2 linked regions of the Oryctolagus cuniculus genome follow. The protein of the gene in region 1 binds, or shares a complex with, the protein of each later gene. Each region holds a gene or a part of one and is shown on either strand. Other genes may lie near its edges.

What was found.
Region 2: the proteins of ATP2A1 (region 1) and SLN are in contact, whole or in part, in a crystal structure (PDB 3W5A), measured with the Oryctolagus cuniculus proteins. Residues at the interface, in XP_069919846.1 of Oryctolagus cuniculus: Phe88, Val89, Leu96, Ala100, Ile103, Val104, Trp107, Arg110, Asn111, Asn114, Arg324, Lys328, Trp794, Leu797, Gly801, Leu802, Thr805, Ala806, Phe809, Trp932, Ser936, Leu939, Leu943, Leu946, Ile947, Val950, Pro952, Leu953, Ile956; in NP_001075856.1 of Oryctolagus cuniculus: Met1, Glu2, Arg3, Ser4, Thr5, Arg6, Glu7, Leu8, Leu10, Asn11, Phe12, Val14, Val15, Thr18, Val19, Leu21, Ile22, Trp23, Leu25, Val26, Tyr29.

Annotation. Positions count from the first base shown.
Region 1 is NC_091450.1:7,719,129-7,722,934, reverse strand, and holds part of ATP2A1 (sarcoplasmic/endoplasmic reticulum calcium ATPase 1), read right to left. Parts: intron 3,332-3,806; coding exon 3,193-3,331; intron 1,486-3,192; coding exon 1,405-1,485; intron 723-1,404; coding exon 637-722; intron 498-636; coding exon 200-497; intron 33-199; coding exon 1-32. UniProt on the Homo sapiens protein: Key regulator of striated muscle performance by acting as the major Ca(2+) ATPase responsible for the reuptake of cytosolic Ca(2+) into the sarcoplasmic reticulum.
Region 2 is NC_091432.1:99,520,609-99,525,167, forward strand, and holds the start of SLN (sarcolipin), read right to left. Parts: upstream 3,106-4,559; 5' UTR 3,012-3,105; intron 1-3,011. UniProt on the Homo sapiens protein: Reversibly inhibits the activity of ATP2A1/SERCA1 and ATP2A2/SERCA2 in sarcoplasmic reticulum by decreasing the apparent affinity of the ATPase for Ca(2+). Also inhibits the activity of ATP2A3/SERCA3.

The sequences.
Region 1 (3,806 bases):
GGCCAGGCAGGTAGTGATGACAGCGGGAAGACCTGCGGGGAGGGCGGTGAGGAAGCGACCCCCAGGGAGGGGCCAGGAGACCTGCTGTGGCCCCCAAGGCTATCAGCTCCTGACCCCTGGCACCTGGCACCGAGACATCTGGGAAGACAGCCTTTGCTGATGAGACTTACAAACAGGAGGAGAAAGAGGCTGCCGTTACCTTCTGGGATCGCAGCCACAGCCAAGGCCACGGCGATCTTGAAGTAGTAGATGGCACCGCGGATCCAGGAGCCCCCGTGGACGGGGTCGTTGAAGTGGCCGATGTTGATAAGCCACACGGCCACGCAGATGAGGGAGATGACCTTGGACAGCTGCTCCCCGAACTCATCCAGCTTCTGCTGCAGCGGCGTCTTGTCCTGCTCCGTGGCGGCCATCTGGTCACGGATCTTCCCGATCTCGGTGCTCACGCCGGTGGTGGCCACGATGCCCAGGGCCTTGCCGGCCGCGATGTTGGTACCCTGGGAAGGTGAAGGAGAGGCAAGGCGTTGGGCTAGGGGTGCCCCGCCCCCCTTCTCTCTCTTCCCACGCCTCCTCCATCTTCCTCCCAGAGCTGGGCTCCTGGCTGGAGCACGCGACAGCTGGCCCCGGGCTGCTCACCGAGAAAAGCATGTTCTTCTTGTCCTGGTTGACAGCCCGCGGGTCAGGGACTGGCTCCGTGTGCTTGATGACGGACACGGACTCGCCTGCGGAGAAGGGGCCGGGTCTTTCAGGTGACATCACCTCCTTCTCCCTGACTCCCACCCCACCCCACGCCCTCCCTGCTCAGCAGGGACAGGGCCTGGCCAGGACCCAGCGACGGCCCTGCAGGCAGGCTGGGCCCTGGGAGGGGCTGCACTGGAGCAGGAAGCCCTTGTCTCGCCAGCTGCACAACGTTGCGCGCTTAACCTCCATTTGCCCCTCTGAAAAATGGGGACACTTGAGCGCTGTGTTTTGGTGACAATCAAAGCAGCCGATGTATGCAGAGGTGCACTGTCCAGTGTGGGTCACACCCCTGGGAGGGACAGGTCCCCGCCCCCTCACGGCTCCTGGGCCAGCCCGGCCTGGCCTGCTTGGACCACAGGGAATGTTCTCCAGCTCTGCTCGCCGCCTCCCAGGGGAGGAAGGGATGCAGCTGAGACTGGGGGGGACATCCACACCCTGCACTTTCCCCTGGAACCCCATGGTCCCTCGCTCGAGGACCTCTGAGGACACCAAAGGAGGCGGCACAGCTGTCCAGGTGTGGCTGTGACTACGTCCCCGTGGAAGAGGTGGGCCGACGGCCACATGGCAAAGGGGCCCTAACGTGCGGCCTCTCCCCAGGGCCCCGGATGATGGAGGAGGCCAGCAGAGGCTCCTCCTCCCTGCCTGTCCCCCCAGCCCGCACACCTGTCAGGATGGACTGGTCCACGCGGAGGGTGGTGGACTTGATAGACAGGATGCGGATGTCTGCAGGGACTTTGTCCCCAACTGTGGAGAGAGCAAAGTGAGGTCAGCTGGGAATGGTATCTTCTCCCTACCTAAGAAAAGCCCAGGCTTTGTCCAAGCCCCTCACCTCACCCATCCTTTGGGATTCAAGGCTGGGGCCCGGTCCTGGGCTTAGGTCAGGCCTTCGGCAGGTGCTCCTACAGCCCCCAGAAAGCACCCCTGGGACCCCCAATTCTCCTGCCCCCCATTGTAGAATGCTTCCCACGATAGGAAGGGCCCAGCATCCTGCCTGGCACACAGTAGGTGCTCAGTTAGTGTCCCCTGAACAACCGAAGGGGCAACTGGGGACAGATCGGATGTACAGAGAGAAAGGAGAACAGAGAGGCAGGGGGGGGCAGAGTGAGGTAAAAAAGCACCCAAAGAAGTGGGAGCAGGGGTGTCAGAGCGAATTGCCAGGGTGAGAAGGCAGGGGAAGGCGGGAAGACGTGAGGGAAAACTCCAGAAAGTCAAGGTTAACGGAGAGAAACAGTGCAGCAGGAAGCAGGAGAGAGGGAAGGCGACGAGGGAGGAGGCCAGCGGAGAGGGAGCAGGTGTGGGGTGAGTCTCGGAGGGGACCGCGTATCGGGAGCCCCTCAGCCTGGGCAGCTGACGGAAATCAGGGGCTGGGGGTGGGCCAGAGAGGAAACAAGGTGGGCTTGGAAAAGCAGAAACTGCAGCAACGTGCTGCAGCTGGGACACGCAGAGGCCTGGCCGGGAGACACATGGGGGCCGGCTGGGTCAGCCCGGAGACCACCTTGGGGAGTACTAAAGGCTGGGCGCCCCCACCAGCCTTAGGGGCCTGTAAAAGAGGCTGCACCCCTCCCGGAGGCTCTGCTCGATTCCACCCTGGCCCCCACAGACGACACTGGGGCAGGGCTTGGTGGATTTCCCTCCGCAGCCAGGCCGGAGGAAGCGGCGGCTGCGGTGGCGCTGGGCGGGACACCCTGTCACCCAAGCCCAGGCGATATTTATAGACATTCATGGTGCTGACTCCAAGCTGTCACGGTGGCAAGTCGGCCCTGTGATGGGATGCCGGGGTCTCCAGCCCGCCCTCACTCCCTCGCCCCAAGCTTCCCAGGGTAGCGGCGACTCGGGTGTCTAGGGAGGGCAGAGGCCTAGGAAGACGCGGTCCCAGTGCCAGGGGCCTGGAGACGTGGGGAGGCCTGCTCGGGGCAAATATAAAAACCGCTGAAGGGGGCAGAATCCCAGTCATCTTAGTCACTCGGCCCCCACCCCTCCCCGGGCAGGAATTAAGTGTCCCTCACTGGGGCGGGGCCCTCCTTGGGCTCGCCTCCTCCCTGGTCCCGTGCTTGCGGGCTGGGGCCTGAGTTTCCCATACATGGCCGGGGGCTCGAGCCTTTGGCCCCCCTCCTCCCTTCTACCCTCGCTCCTTCCCCTCGGAGAGGCCTCAAGGGCACAGAGAGGTCAAGACAGAAAGCTGACCAAGCTTGGGGGTGGAAGGAAGGAGAGGGAAGGCCAGGCCTCGGGAGGGGGTGGAGATGGGGCCGTTGGCAGGGCCTGGGTTCCACCTGTTGCATGCAAGTGCTGGGGGAGTGGAGGGGGAGCCGGGGGTCTGCCTGTAGCCTCAGGGACAGGACTGGCTGTTCCTGTGGCAACTCGGCCCGGAGCACTGCTACCTGGTGTGACCTCCCAAGGAGTCTGGGAAGGAGCGCCCAGACCCCACCCGAGGTTACCGCCCGCGTCACTCACCCGCCACCTCCACGATGTCCCCGGGGACGATGTCCCGAGCCTTGATCCTTTGCACTGACTTGCGGTCAGCCCGGTACACCTTCCCCATCTCGGGCTCATATTCCTTCAGCGCCTCTATGGCGTTCTCAGCGTTCCGCTCCTGATGGCACAGGGCAAGAGGAGCCGGCCATGAGAAGGCAGGGGCTGGGGCTGAGGGGGAGTGGGGAGTGATGGAGGAGCGGAGCCGGGGCGGGGGGGGGGGGGGCTGGGGCCTGAGAGGTGGGGACCTCGCAGAGGGGGCAGGGCTAGGCAGTGTTGGCTCTCAGAGCCAGGGAGTGCTCAAGACCCCACAGGAGGACAGGGGTGTGCGTGTGCGGTGAGGGTGTGGGTATGGGTGTGTGGTGGCTGTAAACAGGTAGAGACGGTTTTTTGGGGGAGAAGAAAGAAGAACCAAAGAAAATTAAAAAAGCAGAAACCAGAAAAGGCAGAGGGTGGAGAAGAAAGAGGTGGAAGGAAATCAGAGGAGCACGTGAGGAATTCCCCCCTTGGCACCCGCACTCATACGCTGCGACTCATTCAGTTTGGCCACTAGTCTGAGGGCCGGGATTATTAGCTCCATTTCACAGGTGGGGAGA
Region 2 (4,559 bases), on another chromosome or scaffold:
TCACAAATCATATTTGGACCAGAGCTGCAAGTCCTAACTGAGTCTCTCTCCACTCAGCCAGTGTGCCCTGAAGATTTTGGGCTTGCCAGCCCCCACAACCTTTAAATACACACACACACACACACACACACACACACTCACTCCAAAGAACTCTGACAAATAAACAGAGCCTGGCTTTTCTGCTGAATGTCATGAAAACTAATTCGTTCATTGTATGGATGCTTTGGATAACATACAAAATAGTACATTTTTCTCTCTCAGATTAATGTGTGTGTGTATGTGTGTCCTCTTTGCTAACTTAAAGGATCACCATACAAGGCACCAAAACAGAAAAATGTTCCGGTCCAGTGTTGTTCCTGCTTTGACTTCCCATATAGGCATGGGAGATCATAATATTTCTAGTTTCAGGCTGCTTTAAGTCTTCATCCAACCTTGGTGAAAAGCAGTTTCAACAGCTGCGTGGCTTCTGACAAGCCCTGCACAGGGCACAGAGCCTACTAGGGTCAATCAAAAGTCCCTCACACAACAGATACTCAGTCCAGAGAGCAAGTGTTAACCTCATGGGTACTCCTATTTCAAAAAGGGATTGCGCCAGCTATTTTTAGTCCAGTCCAGGATGTGCCTAGATTGTAAACACTTCAAAGAGCAGGGATGGTATCCTCTTAGGGTGTACAGATTGTACATGCAGGGAATCATACTTTGAGAATGCATGCACTACAGTCAATCTATTACTTTAGTGATGAGATATAACTGGCATTTTGCTATGTGGTCTAAATGAAAGACTTGGATATGTTAGGTACTTTAGATTCTTAGATATCTATACTTTAGATATTTACAACAAAAGTCTACTGTGGAGTGAAAAGTTTTAAAGAAGAAAGGTGTTTGTTAAGGGTGGGAGCTCCAGGAACTGAAAGGGTTGCTAGCAAGTTATTAGCTTATGATAAATTATTAATTATAACTACTATATTTATTACTTATGAATGGCCAAATTATTAATTGCATAAATAACATATGAATAGTCATTGTTCATATTGCATACTTGTTGGTAGAGCAGATTAAGTCAGATGATAGCAACCTCTAGGTTATTGAATCTTGGTTCAAAATATGGTGAATGAGACTGGTTAATGTTTCATTTCCCTCTTAATTCTTATCCATCGTTTGGCCCTCAGCATGAAGGAAGTACTACATTGCTAATGAAAATCTTTACAGACATTTGCTTGGAGGAGAAAATGAACAGAAGAAAATTAACGCATAAAGGAGGAGAGCAAGTGCAAGAAGGCAACAGGAGGGCAGTGAGTCCAGTCAAGGAGCAAAGGCAAAGGAATGAGAAACAAAGACAGACTCTCCCTTAGGATTTTCTAAATGAAATCAAACCCTGGTCCAAATACCCACTTTCTTGGGTAACTTCTCCAGATATACAGTAAATATCCTGTATTTAATGATCAAAACAACCCAATTCAGGGGGAGGAAAATAATTGCTCCACCAAATCTGCTGTTTAAATTAAGCTCTTAAGTAAAGGGAGTCTTGGATGATGGCCTAACAGGAAATAAGAAAAATGCTTTTGTTATCTTCACAAAAACTCACATAAGTATTATTGTGATTTTTATCTCCCCCAAGATTACAGCTGGAAAAAAATAACTTTTAGAGAATGGTTAAGTTGTTTGTGTGGTGGCACATTAAAGGCAGCAAATTAGAGGCAGGCCTAGGAATGGCTGACTGGAACTAGTTACTAGGATTGTGGTCACTCCAAAGGAGTGATTACAAGAAAGAGTTATCACTGGCGAAGAACTAGTCTGAATAAACAAAATTAGTGTGAATTTTCAACCACTTTGGGAAACTATTTGACATTTTTGAAGCTTAAAAATGCTCATCTCCTAGTATCTAACAATTTTACTTCCACCCCAGATGCTTAAGTGCATACGCACCAGGACACATATACAAGGGTATTCACAGAAACATTTTCACAATAATCCCAAATTGGAAATAATAGTAGAACTTGGCATATTGATACATTTTAATACTAGAGTAGAAAGAAAATACATGGATTTCAGTTATAGCTACACAAAACAAAAATGTGTGGATCTCAGAAATATAATTGTTGGGTGTAAGATAGTTTGCAAGAGAACAAAATGACTCCATCTATTTAACATAAAAAACATGGAACTTTATCGCAATATTAAGGTTAGTAAAATTTTAAATAAAAACCAGGACAAGATGATCTCAACATCTTGGGACAGCAGGGGAGGTAATCAGGCACAGATTTCTGGGATGCTAACAAGGAACTGCTTCCTGCCCTGGGTGACAGCTATACAATTGATACCCTAAAATTATGTCTTAAACTGTGTATGTTTTATGTGTTCTTCATATTGCTTTATAGTCATCTCTGAATTGACAGGCTATCTATTATTATTCTTTCTTTCCTCTGCTTTACCTCCTACTATTTTTTGCACTTTGATGGTGAACTTAAGTATTTATTATTTCGTGTATTCTTTAAATGACTAGAACACAGTTAAGATGACAATTTCTAAAGAATCCATTTCTTTCAATATGTGTGCTCACAATTAACTGTAGACTTTACTCACACACACATTTATGCCTTTTAGGAATATCCAAATTTAGGCAAAAATCCAGATCAATCAAGTTCTATTGGCTTCAACTTAAACCTTTCCTGAAGTCAAGTTCATGCCATATGATCCAAAGAGATTGCCATATGGATGAACTGAAAACCAAAAATCTATGAATAAATTGGACAGGAAGTTTGACTTTGGAATCAATGGAGTCTTTGAGAAAATTAAAGACTTTCTTCTGTGCTATAAAGAAAGTTTTGTAACTATCGGAAGGGGAAACATGCATGAAGAAAATAGGAATGACTTTACATCTTAAGGTAGGTATTGCCTATTTTATTAAGATATGTAAACATTCTGCCTTTCTCATTTAAAACTTGCACACACACACACACACACACACACACACATGCACCCTATGCTAAGCCTAAAAACCTTGCTGTTACCTGAAGAAGGTCAAGGACACACGTTGGCTGCTGTAGGTTTCTCCTTACTTTCTCCAACTCTGGCTCCAACTCCGGCTCATCTCCCAGGCTGTGTGGACTCCTGGGCTCTGGGCAGGGCCTAAAGTAGTCCAAGGGAGGTGACACTGTGATGTCACTGATGAAACAGCTGAAAGGAATAACCCTGAAGGTTTGAGGCTATTTGTGTTCAGGGGGACTTGGAAATATGTTGACTAAGACTGTTTCTTCGGTTGCCAATTTATTTAAACATCAAAGGGCACTAAAACTTCTATTTCCAGTTCCCTTTTGGTGCACTTGATGTGGATTTTAAATTGATCCTTTGCATTTTCATGAATACATCTAACTTATCTTTAAAAACATCACAAACCATTAGTGATAAAATAATTTTTTTTTTGACAGGCAGAGTGGACAGTGAGAGAGAGAGAGACAGAGAGAAAGGTCTTCCTTTGCCATTGGTTCACCCTCCAATGGCCGCCACGGCCGGCGCACCGCGCTGATCCGATGGCAGGAGCCAGGTACTTATCCTGGTCTCCCATGGGGTGCAGGGCCCAAGGACTTGGGCCATCCTTCACTGCACTCCCGGGCCACAGCAGAGAGCTGGACTGGAAGAGGGGCAACCGGGCCAGAATCCGGCGTCCCGACCGGGACTAGAACCCGGTGTGCCGGCGCCGCAAGGCAGAGGATTAGCCTAATGAGCTGCGGCGCCAGCCAGATAAAATAATTTTTAAAAATCAGTGCAGCATCTGGCCACTCCCACTACTGAGCAGGCCTAGGTGTAAAGATGTGACTTTGTGTTACCACCTATATCTTTAGCTGTTTGCAATATAAAGAGTTCTCTCTCTCTCTCTCCAACACACACACACACACACACACACACACACACACACACCACGATCCAGAATTCAAAAGACATCTTGAGCTGCTTCAAAATTGACTTTAGTCCAAACAGTGAAAGTTATCTCTTCCATCACCTGCTCCCCATAACTTTCCAGCTAAACAGTGCATTGCAAGTTTACACCTTAATCTACAGTTTCATCTGAAACAGCTGAGAGAGGCGTGGTTTGTCTATCTCTGTCAGTAAACTAATATAGCAGTAAATTCAAATGGCAAGACATAGTCATTTCGATAGATTGGGGCTAGAAATAGAACTGGTCAAAATTTTTGAAAAACCTGAGTTATTGAATAAATGTGGAAGATGTCAAATTATATAACTTTCTTTATGAATACAGGCTAAATGAGTTTGCAACCAACAAATCAGATGTTTGAAGATAAATAGAGCCTCTGAAGGGTTTAATTGGACTTCAAAATAAGTCAGTTAAGCACCTTAAATCTGACCCCAGCAGTTGTGTTTGCTCAGCAAATCCCTTCTTTATAATAGAGCAATCCCCCTCTGAATTCCCAGTCAGGGTTAATCAAAGTCATACATCCCAGGCTTGGGCATTTGGCTCCTCAGGACTCTTGCATAGAATATCAGAGTGCCTGGTTCAATTTCCAGCTCTGTCCTCAGCTCTAGCTTCCTGCTAATGGCAC